7 linked regions of the Mus musculus genome follow. The protein of the gene in region 3 binds, or shares a complex with, the protein of the main gene of each other region. Links are inferred from orthologs where the notes say so. Each region holds a gene or a part of one and is shown on either strand. Other genes may lie near its edges. The genes, in order: Sf3b5, Snrpd1, Bud13, Scnm1, Cwc22, Sf3b2 and Ppil2.

The links.
Region 1: Bud13 (region 3) and Sf3b5 share a complex: the UniProt entries of both Homo sapiens proteins name them as parts of the minor spliceosome. The link is inferred for Mus musculus from reciprocal best matches to the Homo sapiens genes BUD13 and SF3B5.
Region 2: Bud13 (region 3) and Snrpd1 share a complex: the UniProt entries of both Homo sapiens proteins name them as parts of the minor spliceosome. The link is inferred for Mus musculus from reciprocal best matches to the Homo sapiens genes BUD13 and SNRPD1.
Region 4: Bud13 (region 3) and Scnm1 share a complex: the UniProt entries of both Homo sapiens proteins name them as parts of the minor spliceosome. The link is inferred for Mus musculus from reciprocal best matches to the Homo sapiens genes BUD13 and SCNM1.
Region 5: Bud13 (region 3) and Cwc22 share a complex: the UniProt entries of both Homo sapiens proteins name them as parts of the minor spliceosome. The link is inferred for Mus musculus from reciprocal best matches to the Homo sapiens genes BUD13 and CWC22.
Region 6: Bud13 (region 3) and Sf3b2 share a complex: the UniProt entries of both Homo sapiens proteins name them as parts of the minor spliceosome. The link is inferred for Mus musculus from reciprocal best matches to the Homo sapiens genes BUD13 and SF3B2.
Region 7: Bud13 (region 3) and Ppil2 share a complex: the UniProt entries of both Homo sapiens proteins name them as parts of the minor spliceosome. The link is inferred for Mus musculus from reciprocal best matches to the Homo sapiens genes BUD13 and PPIL2.

The regions. Positions count from the first base shown.
Region 1 is NC_000076.6:13,007,165-13,009,683, forward strand, and holds Sf3b5 (splicing factor 3B subunit 5), read left to right. Parts: upstream 1-1,285; 5' UTR 1,286-1,458; coding exon 1,459-1,719; 3' UTR 1,720-2,019; downstream 2,020-2,519. UniProt on the Homo sapiens protein: Component of the 17S U2 SnRNP complex of the spliceosome, a large ribonucleoprotein complex that removes introns from transcribed pre-mRNAs.
Region 2 is NC_000084.6:10,616,465-10,620,595, reverse strand, and holds the start of Snrpd1 (small nuclear ribonucleoprotein Sm D1), read right to left. Parts: upstream 2,801-4,131; 5' UTR 2,684-2,800; coding exon 2,670-2,683; intron 1-2,669. UniProt on the Homo sapiens protein: Plays a role in pre-mRNA splicing as a core component of the spliceosomal U1, U2, U4 and U5 small nuclear ribonucleoproteins (snRNPs), the building blocks of the spliceosome.
Region 3 is NC_000075.6:46,286,012-46,289,511, forward strand, and holds part of Bud13 (BUD13 homolog), read left to right. Parts: intron 1-331; coding exon 332-422; intron 423-1,005; coding exon 1,006-1,090; intron 1,091-1,650; coding exon 1,651-2,424; intron 2,425-3,500. UniProt on the Homo sapiens protein: Involved in pre-mRNA splicing as component of the activated spliceosome. As a component of the minor spliceosome, involved in the splicing of U12-type introns in pre-mRNAs.
Region 4 is NC_000069.6:95,131,213-95,135,301, reverse strand, and holds the start of Scnm1 (sodium channel modifier 1), read left to right. Parts: upstream 1-1,289; 5' UTR 1,290-1,406; coding exon 1,407-1,457; intron 1,458-1,673; coding exon 1,674-1,744; intron 1,745-2,013; coding exon 2,014-2,102; intron 2,103-2,190; coding exon 2,191-2,285; intron 2,286-2,388; coding exon 2,389-2,477; intron 2,478-3,275; coding exon of another isoform or gene 3,276-3,315; exon of another isoform or gene 3,316-3,496; intron 3,497-4,089. Other genes in the region: Lysmd1 (lysM and putative peptidoglycan-binding domain-containing protein 1), read right to left, coding at 306-485. UniProt on the Homo sapiens protein: As a component of the minor spliceosome, involved in the splicing of U12-type introns in pre-mRNAs. Plays a role in the regulation of primary cilia length and Hedgehog signaling.
Region 5 is NC_000068.7:77,901,357-77,904,856, reverse strand, and holds part of Cwc22 (pre-mRNA-splicing factor CWC22 homolog), read left to right. Parts: intron 1-631; coding exon 632-733; intron 734-822; coding exon 823-1,061; intron 1,062-3,500. UniProt on the Homo sapiens protein: Required for pre-mRNA splicing as component of the spliceosome. As a component of the minor spliceosome, involved in the splicing of U12-type introns in pre-mRNAs. Promotes exon-junction complex (EJC) assembly.
Region 6 is NC_000085.6:5,292,656-5,296,674, reverse strand, and holds the start of Sf3b2 (splicing factor 3B subunit 2), read left to right. Parts: upstream 1-1,219; 5' UTR 1,220-1,280; coding exon 1,281-1,413; intron 1,414-1,587; coding exon 1,588-1,634; intron 1,635-2,298; coding exon 2,299-2,376; intron 2,377-3,355; coding exon 3,356-3,595; intron 3,596-4,019. UniProt on the Homo sapiens protein: Component of the 17S U2 SnRNP complex of the spliceosome, a large ribonucleoprotein complex that removes introns from transcribed pre-mRNAs.
Region 7 is NC_000082.6:17,094,253-17,097,752, reverse strand, and holds part of Ppil2 (RING-type E3 ubiquitin-protein ligase PPIL2), read left to right. Parts: intron 1-305; coding exon 306-397; intron 398-958; coding exon 959-1,048; intron 1,049-1,672; coding exon 1,673-1,748; intron 1,749-2,709; coding exon 2,710-2,870; intron 2,871-3,500. UniProt on the Homo sapiens protein: Has a ubiquitin-protein ligase activity acting as an E3 ubiquitin protein ligase or as an ubiquitin-ubiquitin ligase promoting elongation of ubiquitin chains on substrates.

The sequences.
Region 1 (2,519 bases), on a different chromosome or scaffold from region 3:
ATAGTATGGCTGGATGGCATATCCACAGGTATTGCCGTATAGTCTCTATATTTTAGGAATAAGATGTGTATTATGTTGTCTAAGTCTTGGTGTTGGTTGGTTTTATTTTTTTTTGAGACAGAGTTTCTCCTTGTAGCCCTGGCTGTCCTGAAACTAGCTCTGTAGACCAGGCTGCCCCTGAACTCAGAGATCTGCCTGCCTCTGCCTCCCAAGTGGTGGAATTAAAGGTGTGTGCCACCACCACCTGGCATGATGCTTATTATGACAAAATTTAAACAGAAGAATTAATATTGGATGGAGCGGAACTCACCTCTAATCCCAGCATTCAGGAGGCAAAGGCAGGAGGATTGCTGTGAGCTCAGGGCCAGATCCTCCCCCCACCAAGTAAACAAAAGTACCCCCAAACTCCTGTATTTTCAAATTGTCTGTCATTGTCCATTCTCTTTGGCTGTGACTGCTCTTACCCCATTCCTAAAATGGTTTTTTGAGAGTACAATCTACATCAGGCTATACATGTATCCTTAAGGGATACCATAAAAGAAGTACAATTATCTTTTCTGAGTTGTTTGTAACGTGAGAAAGTGCACAACCCCCAACGTAAGGCAGTAATCAGCAGAAAAACACAGGTGACTAGAAAGAGAGGTGTTCTTTCTATCTATCTATCTATCTATCTATCTATCTATCTATCTATCTATCTATCTATCTATCTATCTATCTATCTATCTATCTAGTCTTGAACCACATCTGACTTCAAGGAATAGCTTTTGAGTGACCTAGAGCAAACAACCCCTCAATGGGTTGAGAAACGGGAGCCTGGAGCTCGTTGTGGGAGCCATTAGTGAGACTACTGGGGCTGACACTGATCACCAAAAATACTTTTCCCAGTGCCCAAATTCTAAGAGACAAAGCTGGGACCGCGGGGGAACCATGCTGCCACGTTAGCTTCTAGGTACAAGAGTTAATTTTCCTGGTTGCTTGTAGTTGAAACCCTCTTGGATTTCCCCTTCTTAGTAGCCCAGAGCCGTGGGATAACTCTCAGAGGCCGTTTGCCATCGTCCTACAGCAGCCAGGCAAAAACAAAACAAACAAAACAAAACCCTAAAACAAACTCTTTGGACTACTTGTTCCAGAATGCAACGCTCAGACTAGAACGTGATCACCCGAGAGCCACTAAGCGGACCATCATGCAACACTCTTCGAAGTAGGCGGGCTCCGTGAGGAGACGGCCCAGTGTTTCCTAGGCAACTCCAATCCCGCGACAGACGGCACTTCCGCTTCCGCCTAGGAAAAGACTGTCTACTCCTGCGTCTCGGTGGCGTCTTTCTCCCGCGCCTGCACGAACTGAGGTTTTGCGTGGCGGCGGCGGCACCGGCAGCGGCAGCGTCTCTCACTTGAACGCCGCGAGCGGCAGCTTCTCGTCTGTGTCCTGACCTCGGAGCCTACGAGCAGAGCGGCGCGATGACGGACCGGTACACCATCCACAGCCAGCTGGAGCATCTGCAGTCCAAGTACATCGGCACGGGCCACGCCGACACCACCAAGTGGGAATGGCTGGTGAACCAGCACCGCGACTCCTACTGCTCCTACATGGGCCACTTCGACCTCCTCAACTACTTCGCCATTGCCGAGAACGAGAGCAAAGCCCGCGTGCGGTTCAACCTGATGGAGAAAATGCTGCAGCCCAGCGGGCCGCCCGCGGACAAGCCCGAGGAGAACTGAGGTGAGCGCTGCCCAGTCTTCCCCGTGTGCCGGCTGCGAGCCTCCTTGCTCCTGCATCTCGACCATTCCGTGTTGGCTGTGTCGCCTGACCTGCGTACCTGTGGAGGATTCGGAACAAGTCATGGAGAGACTGTCCGGGTCCGCTCCTTGTGAACTGTGCAGAAGGAGTGATCCCAGCATCGGCAAGCGAGGGAGAAGACTGCACGAGAGTGATGCGCATTTCGAGTCTGCTTTTCGATAGTTGATGTCTTCTTGCCTTTTTAAAAAACCATATATATATAAAGTTTAGGGTTTGCTCTATTCTTTGGTATGGATTGCTGTGTTCTTTGGGAGGTTATTAGGAGAGGGTTCTGTGGATCAAGGTTTTGTGAGAGTATAAATAGGAAATGGGGGCAGAAGCACAGGGCAAGTCCTTAAGTCGTCACACACACTTTTATGATATTATCCCACCTCAATAGTCTTCACGCGTACAGTGTGTCTGGTCCCAAAGAAACCTTGAAGCGCGGAGATTGCCCATATCCCTTTCCTACCCTTCCCTTTATGCGCTACCCCTTACCCCTTTTTCTTGATGATTACCCTTTGTGTCTTCAGAAATGATAAACTGGCAAACAAGTGGTATCACGTCCCCATCCTGCTCAGCGCCCCATTCCCCCCACCCCTCTTCCCTTTTCACCAGAGCATTTTCCAAAGGTTTGAGGGCATACATTATGCCAGCTTGAAGAGTTTACAACTTTAAAAACCATGCTTACAATGCTACTTTACTGAGATGTCATTTGAGAACAGATTTTAAGGAATCAAGA
Region 2 (4,131 bases), on a different chromosome or scaffold from region 3:
CTCTATTAATATTCAGGAATGTAACCCACCAGGAATTCTACATTATCACTCATGCTTTATTTTAGCCAAATGGCAATGGAATGATAATCTACAATATCATCTAATAACACTTCATATTCAGATTTTCCAGTCTACTTATTTTTCTACAATATCCATTGTGCACTCCTATAACATCCACTACAGTAAACTACACGAGTGATATTACCTATTCCATTCTCCCATGAGAAAGTAAGTAGCACGACTTTTCTATAGTAACACACACCAAGTACAGGCTGAACGTTTCAGCAACCTTAAACTACTACATTACAAACAGTATTTTGCCAGGCACGGTGGCAAAGACTTAATTCCAGCACTCAGAAAGGAGGAGGTGGGGAGAACAGGGTCCTTTTGTGAAGAAAATATTCTGCTGAAGAATTCCCTTATGAGCAAGGCAGTGGTCATGCCTTTAATCCCAGCACTTGGGAGGCAGAGGCAGGTGGATTTCTGAGTTGGAGGCCAGCCTGGTCTACAGAGTGAGTTCCAGGACAGCCAGGGCTACACAGAGAAACCCTGTCTCGAAAAACAAAACAAAACGAAACAAAAATTCCCTTATGCTATCTAGAGATGCTGGTTGGTGGCAGTGAAGGCCTCTAATCCCAGCACTCAGGAGGCAGAGGCAGGATGATTCTCAATCTAATGTCAGCTGAGATAGAGTGATTTCAAGTCAGGCAGCACAACTTGTGAGACCCTGTCTCAATATAAAAGTAAAAAGAGGCCAAGGAACACATAAATTCAAATTATTTTCCAGTGAGTCCTTCATTTTGTGAATTCTCTTCTTACTTTTGTTTTCTGTGTAGCCCTGGCTGTCCTAGAACTCCCGCTGTACAGCATGCTGGCCTTGAACGCAGAGAAAGTGTGAGGATTCAAGGCATGGGCCACCATCACCTAGCTGTGAATTCTTTTCTTAATGAGACTGGCACATCAAACAGTAAAGTGTATGGGGTCCTTTTAGTACCCAAATTTTTCCTATTTGAATAGAAAACCAAAGAGAACTGGATAGTGAGAAGTATCTCCAGTTAGAAAAATTAAGAAACCTGGCAACTTACCAGACGCCAGGAGGATTAAGAGAAAGGTAGCTAAGCACACTTCCTAAGTTTGGGCAAGGTGGCAACGGGATAAATACAGGCAATACAGTCCAATACAAAACTCATGCACAAATAAGAAAGCCCACACCAAAAGTGCAAACCAGTCAACCATTTTCACAGGGCAAAAAACATTCTCCCTTGGGGGCTGGCGAGATGGCTCAGCAAGGTAAGAACACTGACTGTTCTTCCAAAGGTCCTGAGTTCAAATCCCAGCAATCACATAGTGGCTCACAAAACCACCAGTAATGAGATCTGACACCCTCTGAAGTCAGCTACAGTGTACTTATTTATAATAATAAATCAATCTTTGGGCCAGAGCGAGAAGAGGTCCAAAATTCAATTCCCAACAACCACATGAAGGCCCCAACTGCTACATCTGTACTGCTACAGTGTACTCACATACATAAAATAAATACATCTTTAAAAAAAATTCTCCTGTAATTAGAAATCTCTATACTTTGCGCTATACAAAATAGGGTCCAAGACAAATCAAAGCAGCAGCAGCAGGAGAGTGAGCACCTGCCTAGGATGCTGGCAAAGTTATCATAATAGAACCTTTAAATGAGATGAACATGTTACTGTAAATACATTATAGTTCATATCAGGGAGTAAAGAAACGGCAAGTCTTAGCATTCTACCTAGGTTACAGTCCAAATACAAATGAACTGGGGCTGAGCTCAAGGTTAAGTGACTATTAGAAGCTCTCTGCGTGCCATCCCCAGAACAGGGGAAAATTTTTTTAACCTTAAATGCCTTCTCCCTCAAATTCCTCCTGAAGTAATTTTTTTTTTTCCAATTTCAAGCAGGCTATGAGTCACCGTTAAAAAAACTTCAAAAATGTTTTAAAAGAATTCTTGTGAATTATGTACAACTACTTCAGAAGGTGTTCAATGCCATTCTGGCCAACTACAACAGTCTTGACTCAACAAGAAACTAAATATTTCTAGTTATTTGCTTGATATTGTATAACCTGCCTCAGGCTTGACCCAAGCCTGTTCATTTGAATTAAACCAGCATGCCTCTAGTTAGGCTCCACTTCCGATATTAACTATGCAGGCGAAATTAATTTATTACCTTCTGCCCCATCCTAGGACATTTTGTCTTTCCTGAGTTAGAAGCCTACACTAACCACTTACATACTTCGTATAACTGGTCAAATTTAAGGAGATCTTAGTCTAAAACGTCTTGCAAATCGGCGTCATCATTTGCAGATAAAACCATGCTAGGTCTACTAAGTCCTCCTCAGTGCAAATGGTCCGATTCGCCAAGAAAACGGGCCACTGCTCCGTTTAAGCTGCCGGATACTGGGTGGGCAGAGGCGGCTCGGCCCCTCCATTCCTGGAAGACCGGCGGGGTCTGCGCGCTGGCCCCTCGCCCGGGCTCTGGGCGGCGGGCAGGGCGCGGCGGGGCCCGGGGGCCTGAGGCCGTTAGCAGGCCGCGCGCACGCGGCTTTCCCGCCTCCCTGGGAGCACAGCGGCCCGGCCTCCCGAGCCGACCCCAAATCCTCTACCCGTCGTCCTCGCCCGGCGGGGGTACCCTCCTCACCTCACGAGCTTCATCCTAGCGACGCAGTTCTCCCTTCTGGCCCGACTGTTCACAGAATTCAGGCTCCAGAGATCCACGGACTGGGGTTATGAATGGCCGGAAAAGCGCGCGGAGGCCTGCGGACGCGCGACGAGAACGCGGAAGCTGCGCTGCCTTCCGGCCACCGGGAGGGCGACAGCGGCCCCTAGCGACGGGAGGAGTGCTTTGCACCTTCGGAGGGCGGGAGGGCTGGTGGACGACATCTTCTGCAGGTTTTTTTAGACCAGTTACGAAGTTATTAAAACTACTTGTGAAGGCCTGGAACTTTCACATGTTAAAGGAAGAGAAGTTCTGAAAGAAGCCCACTAAGATTCGAGTTTAATACTTGGGATTCACATGTTGGAAGCAGGGAACTCGGTCCTGCAAGATGTCCTTACTTGGCTTGACATTAAGCTAAGCCAATCAAATCTTTGGACAGAATGGTTTTCCTTTGGGGATGCAGGGTACCTTCTTAAAACTAGAAAAACCACTCTCAGGACAGAGTTTTAAATAAATTTTATATATAGCAAGTCCTTCGACTTAAAAAAATGTATGTGGATATTTCAGTTAAAGTTAAAACAAAAAATTCAACACCTTATTTGCAATAACCACACTGTTAAATGTAGTTACTCAACATATACATTTGTCTCTAATTACAAACATAGTGCAAATAATTTTGAAAGAATTTGGATGATATTAGTTTATTATCATTTGATTCTATAATTTATTATTTATGGCTCTAGAGAGAATATCGTGTCTAAAAGCAAGGAAATACAACTGCTTTCTGCGCTCTCCAAAACTGCTTACATGGAACGTGATTTTGTCAACAAACACCCCTGTCCCCATGTATGGGAACTGGTCCCAAGGATCAATGAGACCAAAGAAAGAGGCAGGCAAGTCCAGAATTGCAGTGTGCAGCTTAAGGGTGACTTATAACAGAACAATGGGCCTGGACATTAAGAAAAGCAGAGGTCCTTGTAATGTGGGTTATAAAACAGGGGAAACGTTATTTCATAGCTAGGCATGGTGGTCCAAGTTTGGGCCACAAACTCTATCTCGAACCTTCCCTTCCCCCTAAAAAGAGATTTCAGCCAAATAAGATTATACCTTGTCTATTTTAAGCTAATCAGAGCCAGGTACATTCTTAGTCCAAGGTCTGGGCAGAAAGGTTCACACAACTCTCGAATGATTTTGTCTGTTTTATGCTGGAAAGCCAACCAGGGTGACTCAGGGGTAATTTTAATACTTTCTACTCAAAATAATTTTAGTAATGGCAAGATAAATCTACAGTTCTTGATTGATATTTATGAACAATTAAATACCTCCCTCCATTAAAATGTATGCTTTATAAGGATACATTGTGCATATCATTTGGTGCAATAATGCCAGTACTGATCACCTGGTGTTCCTTAACCCCAAATCCCCTTTCCACTTGGGGCCAGCT
Region 3 (3,500 bases):
GACAAGCCTGACAACCTGAATTCCATCCCCTGAACCCACATAGCGGAGGGAGAGAACTGACTCCTGCAGGTTGTCCTCTGGCCTCCATATGCATGCCATATCACATATATACACCATCACTGTCACACACACACACACACACTCTAAATGTCAAAGAACAACAGGTAAGGGGCTGGAGAGATGGCTCAGAGTATAGACTACTCTTCCAGAGGTCCTGAGTTCAATCCCCAGCAACTACATGGTGGCTCACAACCATCTGTAAAGAACAACAGGTAGGTAGGCCCGTGTTACAGCATGACTTCCGTTTTGAGTTTTTATTGTTCTCATCTAGAATGCGGATTGTTGATGATGATGTGGGCTGGGCGGCTATCTCTACTGCTAAGCCGGAAAAGGAGGAGGAAGAGGATGGAGATTTGCCTGTGGTATGTATCTCGTGGAGACTTTTGTCAGGACTTTGAAATGATCCAGGCTTCTCAGACTTGACACTGAGCAAGGGGAGAGGTGACCCTCAAGAGAGCTGTGTGGCACTGTTTCCTTCATGGTGCTTATACAGACAGACAGTCCCAACTTAATGTTTTTTTTTTTTTTTTGGTTTGGTTTGGTTTGGTTTGGTTTTTCGAGATAGGGTTTCTCTGTGTAGCCCTGGCTATCCTGAAACTCACTCTGTAGACCAGGCTGGCCTTGAATTCAGAAATCCACCTGCCTCTGCCTCCCAAGTGCTGGGATTAAAGGCGTGCGCCACCACACCCTGCTCCAACTTAATGTTTTGACTGTGCAGTGGTGTGGACATGATACATTTTCAGCAGAAAATGGTTTTGAATTTTTGATCTTCGGCTAGCACTGTTTGGTATGATAGTCTCATGATGGGCAGTAGAAGTCAGTCATGCGATCACAAGGAGAAGCAGGCAGTTCTCTGCCTGTAAGCTATGGCTCTGGGTTCTTGAGACAAGTGATCCTTGGCTGGGTCCTGTGGGTTTCCTCACTGTAGTGCCCCTACTCCTGCAGGTGGCTGAGTTTGTGGATGAGCGTCCAGAAGAGGTAAAGCAGATGGAGGCCTTCCGCTCCAGTGCCAAGTGGAAGCTTCTGGGAGGTGAGTGTCAGCAGCAACACAACTGCACATCTCATTTCCAGGATGGGTTCCTTCTGCTTCCCTGCCTTAGGGGAATGCCTGGTTTGTTTTATGTCAGTGATGATGAAAAACATGATGGGACAAAGATGTCAGGACTTTAGAAGAAGGGCATGGAACATTAGAGGCTGACTTGTCAGAGCCTGGAGACCAGCCTTTCCACGGTTCTAGAATGAAACAGCTCCTGTGGTCAGAGCCAGAGTTTTGTCTTTCACTTTGTGACTATTTCTCTGTTCTCCTGACTTTCCATAAACAAGGCTCTCCCATCTTCTCCTCCATCCCCTGTGTCTTCCTTTCCTTCCTTTCTTTTTTTTAAACCTTTGAGACGGTCTCAGTCTATAGTCTAGGTCACTGTGATTCAATCTTACTTCTTGAGATCTATTTAACTATAGAATATTCCTGGTGCTTGCTCTTTTCTTATACATAGGTGACAAAAGAATTGTCTCCTAAGTGGGGTTTGTTACCCTCTGTGCCATTAGGCCAGAGCACATTGTGGGACTCTTACTGTTTGCTCTTGTGTTTAGGCCACGGTGAAGATGGACATTTTCATCACGATGACCAAGATTCATCTCCTCCTAGGAGGGTCCGTCATGACACCCCAGACACATCTCCTCCCAGAAAGGCCCGTCATGACACCCCAGACCCATCTCCTCCCAGGAAGGCCCGTCATGACACCCCAGACACATCTCCTCCCAGAAAGGCCCGTCATGACACCCCAGACCCATCTCCTCCCAGGAAGGCCCGTCATGACACCCCAGACCCATCTCCTCCCAGGAGAGTTCGTCATGACACCCCGGATCTATCTCCCCCAAGGAGAGTTCGTCATGACACCCCGGATCTATCTCCTCCCAGGAGAGTCCGCCATGACACCCCGGATCCATCTCCTCCCAGGAGAGTCCGCCATGACTTAGATGCTTCTCCCCCCAGGAAGTCTCATCGTAATTCTTCAGCCGTATCTCCTAGGAGAGGCCATCATGGTTCCTTAGGTACCTCTTCTCCGAGACAGACCCATAACCACTCCCCTACTGCAGCCCAGCATAGAAGGACTCTTGACTCTTCAGGTACACAGCATCTCAGGAGGGCCCATCATGAGTCCCCTGATTTGGAACTGCACAAAGCCAAAAGTAGTAAAGCTGCAGAAAGAGCCCCTAGCAAGGCTGCATCCCAGAGTGGGCTAGGACCCTCTCACCCATCACTCTCCACCAACAGCAAGTACGAGCACGACTCTGACCTCTCTCCTCCACGGAAACGGCAAGCAAAGGCTCATTTTGAAGCTAAGAAACAGCTTGATTCTAAAGGTGAGCATAAGGCTATGCATAAGAGGACCTTCCTCCTGGGGAGTGTAAGAATGAGTTTCTTTTGGAAAGTTTTGAAAAAAGAGAGACTAGACTTAGGGGAGTTGAAAAATAAAAGGGTGGGGGGAAAGTTTCATGTCCTTTTGCTCACTCACCCTCCCCATAAAAAGGCAAAGATGGGGTGGGCTCAGAGGCTCAGAGGGTAAAGCATTGTCTTCACCACTGCAGTAAAAGGAGAAAACCGACCCCTGAAAGTTGTCCTCTGACCTCCGCATGTGTATGTCTGCGATCATGTACACACATGCACACATACAGTAATAATAAATACACTGACGTACAGGAATGTATAGACACAGCAGTGTCACAAAATTGTATCATTTAGACAACGTCATTGCTAGTGTTGTAGCCGGTGTCCTTAGGTGGTTTGGGCACGCATGTTGGGCGTAGTTGGGCCTGAGTGTACAGAGCATACTTGTTGCCTGTGGATTCTTGCCTGCTCGCTCCACTTACCAGTCTTCCCTGAGTTTGCCCTGAGGATATTTGACAATCATCATGTACATACACTGATAGCACAACTGGGATTGCTGCTTTTTTCTTTTTCTTTTTTTTTTAAGAGTTATTTATTTATTTAAATATATTAGTGCACTATTGCCCTCTTCAGACACACCAGAAGAGGGCATCAGATCCCATTACAGATGATTGTGAGCCACCATGTGGTTGCTGGGAATTGAACTCAGGAGCTCTGGAAGAGCAGTCAGTGCTCTTAACTGCTGAGCTGTCTCTCTAGCCCTGTATTATTTCTTTTTTTTTTTTTTTAAAAGATTTATTTATTATATGTAAGTACACTGTAGCTGTCTTCAGACATTCCAGAAGAGGGAGTCACTTGTTACAGATGGTTGTGAGCCACCATGTGGTTGCTGGGATTTGAACTCCGGACCTTCGGAAGAGCAGTCGGGTGCTCTTACCCACTGAGCCATCTCACCAGCCCCCTGTATTATTTCTTATCTTAGATCTCCTGGGGATTTAACTGATAGGTTCCTAGAAAACTATGGAGTTATTTACTAGGTCAGAATGTGTGG
Region 4 (4,089 bases), on a different chromosome or scaffold from region 3:
TACTCTGACACTTAAGTGATTCGACCTTGATCAAACTGGTTTATCAGTCTTAAGTTGATAGGGACACAAGTCCAGTTAATGGCTGTAAGCCCCGCCCCCACTCACCCACCTCCCTCACCATCTACAGGAGTTGCTCCTCCCACTGGGATAGTTGGGCAGATCTGTCCCAACAGTGCTCTGCTGAGATGTGAAAGCAAAATAAGGAAGAAAAAAAACAGACCATAATAGAATTTAAATAATGTGAGAGGGGGCATCTTAGCGGGCCACCCACTTTCTCGGGACTATCTCAATTCTGGAAGACTCACCGTTACCCCGTATTTGAGTGCTAATCCAGCCAGGGTGTCTCCAGGCTCCAATTGATGCTCCAGGCGTCTTTCCCTCACTGGGGAGCAGGATGATTGTACCAGGCTTCCATAAGAACGAGCACGGCTCCCATGCAGCAGCCCTGACCCCCCGAGGGGAGGCTGTCTAGAGGGAGAAGCCATCTCCTCACTGTCAAGACCTAGGGTCACAACTGAGGGAAGCCCAGCTAAGTAACAGTGACGGCCGAACCCAAGGAATGGATATTCAGATAATTCGTTTTCTCTTCTCTCGTCTCTCTACAGTCTCCCGACTCTCGAGAGACTACATTCGTCGTCCTCCTCTTGCTGCTTCTTGCCGTGCCTGGAGTTACTGTCCGTCTCTTAAGAAGTCTGCCAGGCCGGTTACATTTCTCTTTCCACGAGCTCCTTACCCATAAGTATCTTCCCTGAGCTGTCAGTCGCTGACCCGGTTGACTTTCGACGCCCCCTCCCCAACTCCTCGCAAGCCTGATCTCTGACCTTTGAACCCTAGACACCCTCATCAACACTCTTCCCTCAGTGTATCCCCACATCCAACAGTCGGGATGCCGGGTGCTCCCACATCCTCTCTGTTCCAAATAAGGCCCACCCCAGGTAGGTTGTGGCTGAGGAGTACGAGCCTGAGGACAGCAAGAGTTTGTAGTATATAGTCCACTGAGATCCCTGACGCCTCGCTCCACATCAGGAAGGTCCCACCCTGAAATTCCGGCTCCACATACAGGATCTTGAGTCTCCGAACACCTGGATCCTTCGAGATGTGAGGTCCTGTGTCCAGGTGAGCAGTGTGCTCTTCAAAAAAATAAAAAAATAAAATAAATAACCAAAAGACTTCATTTCCCAAAAGGCACAGCGTCTCAAAGTATTGTAGGAAATGCAGGCCCCCTCAGGGCGCTGGAGGCGGGTCTTCCGGTTCGCGCGACGCAAGCGTGGAACATCATCCCCGGAAGTACAGATTCAACAAGAAAGAAACCGGAAGCAGAGAAGGCGATAGTGTACTCTTTCTACGGTGGCCTAAAGGAGCAGCGAAGTAGGCGTAGGGGAATTTATCGTAGTCTCACAGTCGCTATGTCTTTTAAGAGGGAAGGGGACGACTGGAGTCAACTCAATGTGCTCAAAGTAAGCCTTAGTGAGAGTCTGATCACCTTCAGCCGCCCTGTTGTTTTGTTTTGTTGCTCTGGCGACATCTAGGGGAGGGCTTAGGGGACCAGAACTGAGTGGTGACCCCTACTACCCTATGATCTGCATAGCCCCGTGTGCCATTTGACTCCTTATCCATACTATTTCATTTCCATCCGTCCCTCTTACTCATTTCTCCTATCCTGCTCCCTGCAGAAACGGAGAGTTGGGGACCTGCTGGCTAGTTACATCCCTGAGGACGAGGCACTGATGCTGCGGGATGGACGGTGAGAGCGAAGAGTGGATCAAGCCTGGGGATTCGGGGATCAAAGGCTCAACAAACTTTTGTCACTAAGGAGTTCAGGAGTATAATAGGACTCTTTGGCTGGAAGTGAAGTGTAAGGGGTGGAGATCGGGAAACCTGGGAGTTGGTGGTGGAGTACTCTGACAGAAGTAGGACCTACTCACCATAGCAAGAACACCCCGACTGCAGGCTCTCGAACACACAACATACACACCACACACCACACACATCATTCACTTCTCGTTTCCCTAGCTTTGCTTGTGCCATCTGCCCCCATCGACCAGTACTAGACACGCTGGCCATGTTGACAGCCCACCGTGCAGGCAAGAAGCATTTGTCCAGTAAGTATCAGAGAAGTGGGGAGGGCGGGAGATGGAGAGCAAGCCACCAGGCATTGTGCTTTTCATTCCTCCTTGCTTTTGTTCTCAGGTCTGAAGCTTTTCTATGGCAAAAAGCAAACAGGCAAGGGAACAGAGCAAAATCCAAGACAGCAGAACGAATTGAAGACAGAAAGCAAAACTGAGGTGAGAGGGCATCAGGTGTGGTTTAGACAGGGCTATACTTCACACAACAGGCTTGAGGGAACGTTTGCTCCTAACAGCTCTAACTCTGTCTCTTCATCACCAGGCTCCTTTGCTAACCCAGACTCGAATCATCACCCAGAATGCTCTACACAGAGCTCCCCACTATAACAGTTGCTGCCGGAGGAAGCACAGGTCCGTGGAATGGGAAAGCCAGGAGTGGAAAAGGGTAGAAGGAAATAGATGACTTTAAAGTTATTGCTCTCCAGATTGTATTCTGAGAAATAATAATCTTGTGGAAATATTTTTTTTAAATGATGGTAGGGGCTGGACAGATGGCTCAGCAGTTAAGAGCACTGACTGCTCTTCCAGAGGTCCTGAGTTCAATTCCCAGCAACCACATGATGGTTCACAACCATCCATAATGAGATCTGGCGCCCTCTTCTGGGGTGTCTGAAGACAGCTACAGTGTACTCATATATATAAAAGAAATCGTAAACCATCATTTTTTCAGGTTTTTTGTTTTTTGGGTTTTTTGTTTGTTTGTTTTTTGAGACAGGGTTTCTCTGTGTAGCCCTGGCTGTCCTGGAACTCACTCTGTAGACCAGGCTAGCCTCAGAAATCTGCTTACCTCTGCCTCCCAAGTGCTGGGATTAAAGGCGTGCACCACCACTGCCCGGTGGTTTATGATTTTAAAATAAATTTTTTAGCAAGTGGAAAATTGTAGAATAATCATACTTATTAGGAACATTAGGGCTTGGTGAGATGCCTCAGTGGTTAGGAACGCAGGGGGCTCTTCCAGAAGTCCTGAGTTCAATTCTTAGCAACCACATGGTGGCTCACAACCATCCAAAAGGGATCTCTTCTGGCATGTAGGTACACATGCAGACAGAGCACTCCTATATTTTAAAAAGTGCAATAAATAAATACATTCAAAAAGAGAGAATTGTAACATTAGTAGAGCACGGTGGTGTACTTTTTGTTTGTTTGTAGCCCTGGCTGTCCTGAAACCCTGCTATTTAGACCAAGGTGACCTCATATTCACAAAGATCTGCCTGCTTCTATCCCTCAAGTGTTGGGATTAAAGGTGAGCACTCCATGCCTGGCCTTGGAAAATCTTAAGACAAAAACTTAGAACCAGCCGGGCAGTGGTGGCGACGCCTTTAATCCCAGCACTTGGGAGGCAGAGGTAAGCAGACTTCTGAGTTTGAGGCCAGCCTGGTCTACAGAGTGAGCTCCAGGACAGCCAGGACTACACAGAGAAACCCTGTCTCGAAAAACCAAACCAAACCAACCAACCAACCAAACAAACAAACAAAAAACTCTTAGAACTATGTATTAGAGCATAAGGAATATGGAAAGTTACAAAACTTATGGAATATCTGTCTATATTGAGGTAATTTATTGTAATGACTTACAGTTTGTAGTCATGTTGTTGGGTTACAACAATGGGCAGCTGTGAATGAGAAGTCTAAGAATCTAATAGTTGCTCAGTCCCACAAGGCTGGTTGTTTCAGCTGGTCTTGTATAAATAGGTTCTAAAGATGTGCTTGGCAAGTAAGTGCAAGCAGTGGAAGAAGAGTGAGTCTTCCTTCTTCCAGTGGTCTTATGTAGGCCTCCAGCAGAAGGTGTGGCCTACATTAAGGCGTGTACACCACACCTGGATCTGGGACTTGCTTTGTCCCAGGCTGACTTTGAATCAGAGTTCTCCTTGCCTCCTGGGATTAAAGGCATGTTATACCTTGCCTGGACCTAAGCTTTTCACAGCCACTGTGCCTCAAGATCTCCATGCCAAGATCCAGATCAG
Region 5 (3,500 bases), on a different chromosome or scaffold from region 3:
TGCTTCTACACAGTTTAGATGTGCATACATATGTACATAAAAAGAAAAGCTATGGAAGGCCTTTACATTTTTCTGTGCATGCCCACACTACATACTTGTGTGCATATAACCATGTACATATGTTATTTGCCATCTCTATCTTAGTGTGTAAAAAGTTTCCAAATCTGTTGTGTAATTACAGAAATCAACTTTAAGGGCCAGTGAGATGTCTCCGTGATTAAAGGACACCAAGTCTGAAATAAGCTGAGTCCCTGACAGCCACAGGTGGAAGGGAAGAACCACCTCCCACATGTCCTCTTACCTGCGCGCGCGCACACACACACACACACACACACACACACGCACACACGCACACACGCACACACACGCGCGCACACACACGCACACACACACACGCACACACGCACACACACACACACACACACACACTGCAAAGGCATTTTTTTTAAAGAGACGAACTTCAGTGACTTGTTCCTCATTACCTATTATATTTAGGGAGCCTTATGTATAAATGCATAAACCACTTTCTTATATTTCACTTACTGATTTAACAGGTAGAAATTCTGATAGGTGGCTATAGGCGCTTTCATTTGCACTTTCTCCATTTCCTTCATTCCTTTTTCCGTTTCAGAACTCTCCAGCCATTCTTTGAAGGTCTGTTACCCAGAGACAACCCACGCAATACCCGGTTTGCCATCAACTTCTTCACTTCCATAGGTCTCGGAGGATTGACGTAAGGATCATTTGCAGAATTTTATCTTTAGTTACAACATTATGTCAAGTGCCTGGTATACATAGTGTAACACATTACATCTGTGTTAGGGATGAACTGCGAGAACATCTGAAAAATACGCCCAAGGTCATCGTAGCCCAGAAACCAGAAGCTGAACAAAAGAAACCAGCCCTGACATCTTCATCTTCAGAGTCTTCCTCGGCGTCTGATTCCTCTGACTCAGAATCTGACAGCAGCGAGAGCAGCTCAGAGTCCTCTAGTGATGCGAGCGACTCCTCCTCCTCCTCCAGCACTCAGAGCTCTACCTCAGGTATCACGGCTCATTCAGGTATTACCCTGCTCATTTCTAACAATTGCAGGGCTCGATTGCTGCTTACTTATTTTTGCCATCTATTTAAAACATTTATTATTGGAGATGGTCATGTGTCACTGACAGTCTGCAGTGTTATATCTGTTTCAGAAGCCTCTTAGACAGGGCTAATTCATTGGCAGCTGCGATTCCAGGGATGTCCATGTGTTTACAGGGCCCTCCTGAGGCTTTATTACAAGGCATGTGGGTTTTAGTTGTAGTCAAGCTTTATGTGGCTACTTGACATCATTGTACTCATTGGACGGCTCACTGGGGGCTTTGCCGTACCTAGCTTTCCCCAGATTCTGATTTGTAAGTCCATCACTTAGTCTTGCCTCTTGTTTTGCTGACACAAGGTCTTACAACATAATTAAAGCTAGTCTTCTCCTCACTGTGCAGCCCAGTTTGATCTTGAACTGCAGTCTCTGTGAGCCCCAGCCTTCCGAGTGCTGGGTTTTCAGCAGTCCTGCTATAAGCGTCATCTTGCCCAATGTTTGCCTGGCTTGTTTGTTGTTGGATGTCTTGTTTCATTTGTTTTTTGGAGTTTTATATGCATTCTAGATTTTCTGTTCATTTACTGTCTGGCAGGGGCTAGCCTTGAACCTGATCCTCTCTGCCCCTACTTCTCAAGTGCTGGGTTTAGAGACTTATACTTCATGCATGTTTTAATTTTATAATTATTAATTATGAACTTCTTTGTATCTAATGTTTCCTTCATTGTTATGTTCACAAAATAGTCTTACATTTATATTGATCCACCTACATTAGTTGCTGTACATATTCATGTCTGATGTCCTATGTGCATCTTTTAATGAATTTACATATATAGTATCTTCCTCACTACACAGTCCAGGCTAGCCTTGAACTGCATTTTTGTTTTGTGTGTGTGTGTATGTATGTGTGTGTGCACATATTTATACATATACGTGTGCATATAATATATGTATGTATGTATATATACTCATATATACATATGTGTATATATATCATTAGCTTGTATTCTTGGTTTTTCAACTTTACAATGATACAAAAGCTGTATAGTAGAGTCAACAGAAATAGTACTTAGAAGTCTGAATTTTTCTCTCTTCCTGAGCTCCTATGTGTGAGTAACTCTTGTGTGATTTCTACCTAAAGACTAACAGGTATTGTGGGCATGCTTAAGGAAGGCTGTACTAAATTGTGTTTTTTGGGGGTTGGGGGTATAAAAAACATTTTTTATTGATTTATTTATTTTATGTATATGAGTACATTATTGCTCTTTTCAGACACACCAGAGGAGGGCATCAGATCCCATTACAAATGGTTGTGAGCCACCATGTGGTTGCTGGGAATTGAACTCAGGACCTCTGGAAGAATAGTCAGTGCTCTTAACCGCTGAGCCATCTCTCCAGCCCTATTAAAAACATTTTTATGACATGTCATCTTCAAGACATAATCTCATCTTAACTTGAGGAATGCCCATGTGTCCATTGTCCATTTCTTTTTAGTTATGTAGCTATAGAGTCACTACTGTATGATTTTTAACCATCCTGTTGATGATACTGCCTTACAGCTTTCATTTTAATTTGCATTTTCTCCATCACTAATAAAACTGAGCATAACATTGTTATTGGCCATTTGGATGTTTTCTCTTTTGTTCAAATCTGGCTTTTCCCGCCTTTTTGAGTTAACTTCTTATGTTTTAGGGTTTAGCTGTACTGTATTCTCCTCCCTCTCTCTCTCTCTCTCTCTCTCTCTCTCTCTCTCTCTCTCTCTCTCTCTCTGTGTGTGTGTGTGTGTGCGTGTGTGTGTGTGTGTGTGTGTGTGTGTGTGTGTGTGTGTGTGTGTGTGTGCGTGCGTGCGCTCACGTGTGTGTCTGTGTTGGATGTATATATTTGAAGTTAAGTAGCTCACATTTGTGTCTGTGAGGCTACTAGAGCTCTGTTTTCTTTTGGCTTTTTTTCCCTCAGCAGCAACCCTGGGTCAGCAGATGCTCCCGGGAGGAGGTGGCTACAGCCCATCTTACTTCTCTGCATTTCTTTCTACCTTCCCTAAACTTGAGGGAGTTTGGTTCTTGTTTTCTTAACAAGTTCATGTGTTTAGTTTTATAATATTTTATCTTTAACTAACTTCACACTTACAGGGAAATCACAATCCACATATATCCTTTGCCTAACTTTCCTCAGTTAGCCTCTCATACAAACAATGTAATTATGAAACTATGGAAATGCACACGACACAGTACTGGTAACAGATCTCATTTGAATTTCGTGAGCAGTAAAGCAGTAGATGAGTGAGTCAGGGTGCCAGAATGCCAAGTACTAGCTTTGGCATCCATGGGGCGGGTAAACCGAGGCAGGCAACTGCTGGGGATCGGTGCTTAGAGCCACTGACTAGGTCAGTCCAGATACTGACAAGGGCTGCTGCCAGTGGCAGCCT
Region 6 (4,019 bases), on a different chromosome or scaffold from region 3:
GAAAGGTCCTGAGGTTTTTTTGTTTTTCCTACAAGAATATAAAGTCCCCAGGTTAGATACCCCCACCTCCCAACTCATTTATTAGCTGCCTCCTGGATGCTAAATACTTCAAGATAGAAGAAGATCAAGTTCCAGATCCTGTTTGGGGGAATGGAGGTGGGAATAAAGGACAGGAAAGACTTAAAAATGAAACAAAGACAATGGATTAGCTGGCAGCAGTAAGCCCAGTTTTCAAGAAGCAGAGGCAGGAGGATTGCCAAGAGCTAGAGGTTGGCTTGGGCTCGATTTTGTCCCAAGACAGTCTGAACTACATGACTCTTGATCTTCCACTCCATGAAATCGGGTGTGATAGTATATATCTGTAGCCTGCAAAGGATCAGAAGTTCTAGGGTAGCCTGGGCCACATATGGACACATTTGTCTTAAACAACAAAAACCTTGGGGCTTGAGAATTGGTGTTAAGAGCACTGTTGCTTTTGCAGAGGACCTGGGTTCGATTCACAAAAGTGTAACTCCAGTTCCAGATCTGACACTTCTGGCTTCTACAGATACCAGGCATGCAAGCGGTACATATACATATAATAAAACACCTGAAAGGTGGAAAATGTATTAATGAACATTCCTCGAAAGGGGGAAGGAAGCATTTGACAGAGAATACATTTATTTAAGACTTTTTCGAAGGTGCAAAAGGGGATTTTATTTTAGCAGTGCCCTTCCCCCAGGTCAGCAGCTGGAACTCAGCTTGGCGGTCCGTTCCTCCACCGGCTCCGATCCCCTTTCAGCCCATTCAAGCACGCCTGGGCGGGAGTGAGCAGACAAACACTGTTTTATCAGAGCCATCGGCACCAACCTCCCATTCGGGCGCCGGAAAGGAATCTCTATGAGCTCCTAGGAGAAATAAGCACCCAGGTCTCTCATCATTGAAGGGTGTCGGGACAGAAGACTTAGTATGTGTTTGGCCAGGAGAGAAGAAGAATGCATCTGCTCTGGGTAGAGTAAGCTCTTGCAGCCAGGCAGCGGATGTATTACTACTGCTGCATACCGGATGTCATAGCGAGCGTTCGTCCTCTAGATGGCGCATCCGCAAACTACAACTCCCAGAAGGCTCTGCAACCTCCGTTGGCGGCGATTCCTATTCCCCGGTAAGGGAAAGGGCGTGTGTTTGGACCAAGTTCTCTCCAATCACCGCGGGACGTGGATTACGCAACCGGAAGTTTCTGGAAGTAGGCCCGGCGGCTGACCCGAGCTTCCGTGTTGGTCTCGCGCCTTCTTGTGGCTAAGATGGCGGCGGAGCATCCCGAACCTCCCAAAGGAGAGTTGCAGTTGCCACCGCCTCCACCTCCAGGCCACTATGGAGCCTGGGCTGCGCAGGAGCTTCAGGCCAGATTGGCAGAGATAGGAGCGCCGATCCAGGGTGAGGCGCAGAGGCGGTCGAGAGGGGCCCTGCGTGGGCTTGTGGCGAAGTGGAGCTTGGTTACCCAGGAGACCCACGGGGCGGGGGGCGGAGACAGGCCTGTGGGACCTGACCTCGCCAAATTGGCCTGCTCGAGGTGATGCTGACCCCCTGATTCTGTGCTTCGTCCTATAGGGAGTCGCGAGGAGTTAGTAGAGCGGCTGCAGACCTACACCCGTCAGGTGAGTGTTGTCAGTGCAGGCTAGGTCTCACTTTTCCTGGAGGCCTTTAAGACTACTCACGGATGGATCTTCGTTTCTCTTCTCTTCTCTTCTCTTCTCTTCTCTTCTCTTCTCTTCTTTCTTTTTTCTTTTTCTTTTCTTTTTTTTTTTTTTTTTGGTTTTTTTTTTTTTTTTTGAGACAGGGTTTCTCTGTATAGCCCTGGCTGTCCTGGACTCACTCTGTAGACCAGGCTGGCCTGGAACTCAGAAATTCGCCTGCCTCTCCCAAATGCTGGGATTAAAGGCGTGCGCCACCACTCCGCGGCTGGATCTTCGTTTCATATACTTTTTTTGTTTGTTCTTTCGCGATAGGGTTTCTCAGTGTAGCCCTGGCTGGCCTCAAACTTAAGAGATCCTAATGCGTTTGCCTTCCGAGTGCTCCAGCACACCGGGCTAGGTCTTTTTTGTGTACTTCAACGCAGCAAGCCGGCTCTTGACCATTTTGTCAGTTCTTGGTTTTGCTTTATTGTAATTACTTCTACTCCTGTTGCTTTTCTCAGGTTCCAGCCCCAGTCTCTGTCAAGTGGGCACTGGGTACATTTTGTTAAGTAAATAAATGGAAGAGGAGGTTATGTAATGGAATACGTCCTTGTAGTCTGACCTAGAGCTCTCTTTTTTCTTGTAGACGGGCATTGTCCTGAATCGACCAGTTTTGAGAGGAGAAGATGGGGACAAAGCGGCTCCTCCTCCTATGTCAGCACAGGTAAGAGATTGCTTCGAGGATCTTTTCTGCTCAGGATAGCCATGTGTTGAGCTAGCAGATGGGACCGTAAGTTAAGGGTGAGGTCTAAGGAGACAAAATTGTGACCTCTTCACTTCTGATTTAGTGCTGCTACTGTTTTAATCCCCAATGTCTACTCCTCCAAATTTGACTTATCACTCAAGATTCCACTAGAATATCTGGAAATGTTCCTTGATCCTTTCTCAGCTGGAAGTGGTCATGCTTTCTCCTGCCAGGTATAGCTCCCAAAGTTATTGAAACGGTAAAGGATAATGCCCTGACTTGAATAATATACTCCCTGCATCTAGTACAACGTAGATATCCTATGCCTTGGAATGTTGGTTATTACTTTTTTTTTAACTTATTTTTATGTATATAAGTGTTTTGTCTGAATTTGTATTTTGTCCAAGTTTCTACCTGTGCGTCACGTGCATGCAGTGTTTTAGGAGGCCATTGAAGGGCGTTGGGTCATTCTGGGGCTGGAGTTACAGAACTGTGAGCTTCCATCGGGGTGCTGGGAATTGAGCCCTGATATTATAGAAGAGCAGCTCTTAACTGCTTGGCCATCTATCCAGCCCTAGTTCCTATTTCTTTAAGTCCTTTCTGATTCTAGTATTTGTTTCTCTTCCTCTAAAGTTGTGGCTTTGACCTGGAGTTTATTGGTGTGTTTGTGTATGTGTGTTTTGTGAAGTTCCTGTATGGATTTTAGAGGTGTCCTTGTACCTCCTTAAATTGAATGCAAAATGTAATATGAATGTTCCTCATATTTTTTCAGAGAAGCTAATAGCTTTGATCAGTGTGCTAAAGTTAGCATCTTTTGATTCTTTTATGGTGTATTTTCTTGAATCCTACGTCATTAGACTTCAAATTCTAGTATCTGGCTCTTTTGCTAGGTCTCTAGCAAATGCTTATAAATTGAATAAATGCTTTCTAATTCATAGCTGTATTTTTTTCCCCATAGCTGTCTGGGATTCCTATGCCACCACCACCTATGGGACTTCCCCCTCTACAGCCTCCTCCACCACCTCCACCACCTCCACCAGGCCTTGGCCTTGGCTTTCCTATGGCTCACCCACCAAATCTGGGGCCCCCACCACCTCTTCGAGTGGGTGAGCCTGTGGCGCTGTCAGAAGAAGAACGGCTGAAGCTGGCACAGCAGCAGGCAGCTTTGCTGATGCAGCAAGAGGAGCGTGCCAAGCAGGTAGGACAGGTGGAAACCTGTACCTGGGACACATTAGGTCCCTGACGGGGAAATGGAGCCTGAGAAAGCTAGACCCTGAGGCCAAGCCTTTTAGGAAGGTCTTGGTTGAAGACTAGAACGTAGGTATAGTTAGACTCCCAGGAAGCCAGTATTTTGGCAGATTGGCCTGGGCCCTATTGCTGCTAGTGTGAGATTCACTGAAGCAACATGAACTCTTGGGGTACTGGAAGACGGTGATGTTTTTCTCTCTGACTTGACATCTTGCTCTATCCAGAGGATGCCATTTAACATTATTTAATGTCCAAACCAAGATGCTTCATTCAAATTTGCCTTGGAGGCTACCTGATAACCAAATAGGTTCTAGTGCTTCCATCTTTTCTGTAGTCCAGGAGTTAGCACACTATGTGTGCCCTGCTTGTGGATG
Region 7 (3,500 bases), on a different chromosome or scaffold from region 3:
CCTCCGTCTCTTTTTTTCCTCCTCTGTCCCGTCCTCCCTGTCTCCCTCCAGCCTCCCTTCTTCCCTCTCTCCTCTCCTGTGGTACTTGTTGGATGTAGAACTTAGCACATGCTAGGCAAATACCCTGCTGCCACTCCCTTTTAGAATTCCACTTTGAGACAATGTCGTGGTAGATTGTCCAGCTAGCCTTGTACTCTGTTCTTCTGCCTTAGTTTCCTGGGTAGCTACAGTTAAAATATGTACTATCATGATTGTTTAATCAAAGCCCTTGAGGGCCACTAGTCCTGTGTGTGCTTTCTCTCTAGGGCAGTACCACTGTCCAGTGCTGTATTCCGTGTTCACTGACAACACCCATATTGTGGCCATCAGGACAACTGGCAATGTCTACACCTATGAGGTAGACCCCCATTGCAATGAGTGGGACTATCTAATGTTGGGCCCGAACGTGTGCCTGGCTGAGTGTTGAGGTTGAACCAGGAACAGTGAGCATGCCTGTCCTCATACCTTTCGTAGCCTCTAGCACAAGACATTATCTCTAAAATAAAGGTCAGGTGACTCTAGTGGCCTTTGGACCTCAAACCCAGGCTGGCAGTTTGGGCTGCCTAAGCAAGGATTCCTTGTAGCCTGGAAAGTATTACCCTCTCTTCAGCATGGACCAGACTCTGGAACAAACATGGGAGTAAAGGGAGATAAAAAGAGGCCAGGTTCTTAGGACAGGGGCCAGGTTGGCAGGAGGGACATGAGCTGTCTCCATTCCTGGCTCAGTCTAGGATGAGGACAGGCATGATACAGGAGGGCCCATGTTGGAACTCTTGCCAGAAGCGGCCAGGTTGGTTTGGCTAGTCTCTGCCAGACAGGTGAGAACTCTTGAGACTACCCCAGAGTGGCCCTGTGTGCTTGTTTACCTCATACCTCTGTGCCGGCCCAGAGGAACTGTGATATCTCTGTACTGCTCTAGGCAGTGGAGCAGCTAAACATCAAGGCCAAGAACTTGCGGGATCTGTTGACTGATGAGCCCTTTTCCAGGCAAGACATCATCACCCTGCAGGTAAAGAGCTTCACAGGAAGTGCCTTGCCTTGACCCTCCGCTCTGCCCTCTGCTCTGCACTCTGCCCCCCAGCTTTCTTCACCAGGCTTGGTGGTCACCTGTACCATAACACCCCTGCCTGCTGCTACCCAACTATTGCTTAGTGCCACCCCCTCCCCCTACAGCCACCATGGACCATGACTGCCTCTGGCTCTCATGGCTCCTGTATGAGGGCTACACTTGCCTCATAACTCTCTTAGGTGTTAGGACACTTAGGCTGCTTTTCAGGTCCCATCCCTACTCTCAGAACAGCAGCTACACAGTTGTCCCCGTGGTGGTGTGTGAATGGCCTCGAGGGAGCACAGGCTAGGATAGGGTTAAACGACTCTGTGGTTGTTACTGAAGCTTGGTCCAATGGCTTCCCAGTCCACATCCTGTGCTACCTGGCAGCAAGCCTCATTCCTTATTTTTGAGGCCTAAGGCAGGGCACACTGCTTGATGAACAGGTAGGCAGTCTGTGCCATCTTGCTTGTCACTGGGTTGGGGCACAGCCTTGGCCTCCTTCCAGCCTTCAACATCTGGCACAGGTGGGTGAAGTGCTTGACACAGTCCATTGTACTTCTGAGTGTTCTCTTCTTTTCACAGGACCCCACCAATTTGGACAAATTCAATGTTAGCAACTTCTTCCATGTGAAGAATAACATGAGAATAATAGACCCAGGTATGGACACCTAAAGGCTACTGTGAGTGACTACATGTTCTCGGGCAAGTCCTTCCTTCTGGGGGGCCCAGACACTATGCTTCTGAGTGGCTTTTGACTATCATGACATTTGCTGTATAGATGAGGCTGTCCTTAAATGTGCAGCATCCTCCTGTGTTTCCCTTCTAAGTGCTGGCATTACAAGCGTACACAACCATGTCTGTCAGACGGTTAGAGAAGCAGCTGAAACACAGACACCTACCTTTCCCTAGCTCTGGTGGGACTGTGCTTTCTGGATTGCCGTTGGCCACTGTTCTTTCCAGGGTACAGTGACAGGGCTGCAGGTGAGACTGGGTGACATGAGACTTGTCTAGGGCCCTGACCTTCCTGCTTCCTGTGCTTGGTCCACACCATTGACCACACTGTAACATACTGTAATGTACTATAACATACTATGCAGTGGCTCAAGTTTCTGAGCTCACTTGTGCCATGCCAAGGAGCCAGCTACACACAACTCAGGGATAACTGCGCTCAGGAGACCCAGAGGCCAGGCCTAGGGAAGCTCACTGCCCAGTAAGTTACAGCCTTTGGCCTAGCAGGCAACATGTGGCCTTCCTTCCCTTGAAATAAACACGTTTAAATTCACAAAAGCAAAACATCATTGTGAAAAGGCTGCAGTAGAGGTAATACAGGAAACAGGGTGACTCCCACATCCCTTCAGGCCTGGGGCCACTCACCATGACAGCGTCTTCTGTGTGCTCCACCAACCCCCTTGTTGCACCTACTAGAGCTCCTGCCAGATGATCAAGGGCAGTAAGTCATGGCTGTGCTAAGACCAGCGAACCCTGCCCTAATCAACTCACCTGTGGCTTCTTCTCATGTGGCCTTCCCCATCTCTATTCCTATTAGCTCATCTTGAGGCTCTTTGGGGCCTTGGTTTTCTGGGGCCTTGGCTGCTCCGTTCCAATATACTGTTTTATAGATGAGGAAAAGGCCAAACAAGACCCATCTTATTATTTGAAAAACACAAATTCGGAGACGAGAGAGACGCTACAGGAGCTCTACAAAGAGTTCAAAGGAGATGAGATTTTAGCAGCTACCATGAGGCCACCTGAGAAGAAGAAGGTGGACCAACTGAATGCGGTGAGTGGGGCACTCTGCCTGACCGAGAAAGATCCCAGGGGAGGTGCTCACGGGGCCTAGATGCATTTGCTGGCATGGTGGCAGGGACCTTCCCAGTGCTGTTGGGCCCTCCAGGGCTGCTGGGGTGACTGGGCCCCAAACAGATCAGGAGGGAATAGCACACTCTTGGGGTGGAGGAATGGTTGACAAGCTGGGGTCCCATGGCAACAGTGGCTCAGCAGAAATAGGGCTGCCTTATGCTACTGGCCCTGACACAGGCTTCAGTGACCAATGTTCCCGCTTTCTTTGGTGTTCCAAAGGCAGCTTTTACATTTCAGGACAGAGATAGGAGGGTGTGCAGATCTGTGATGGCAGGGAGGGCTAGGGTTGCTATAGCTACTAAGGTCTCAGCCCTTACCTGGGCCCTACCGGGGACGAGCATGCTTCTCTGCCCTATGCCGTAGCTACAGCTGTGGTGCTGGAATTTCTTTAGCACATTTAGCCGATAGGTGCTGTCTTTCTCCCAAGTAGACTGAAGTCTGGAGAGCCTGAGCCATGGGGAAGGCAGAGGTGGAGTCTCCCACATAGGGATTTTCTAGGAAAATGTGGAAAACCAAAGTTCATCTATAATTTCCCAAGCTGAACACAGCT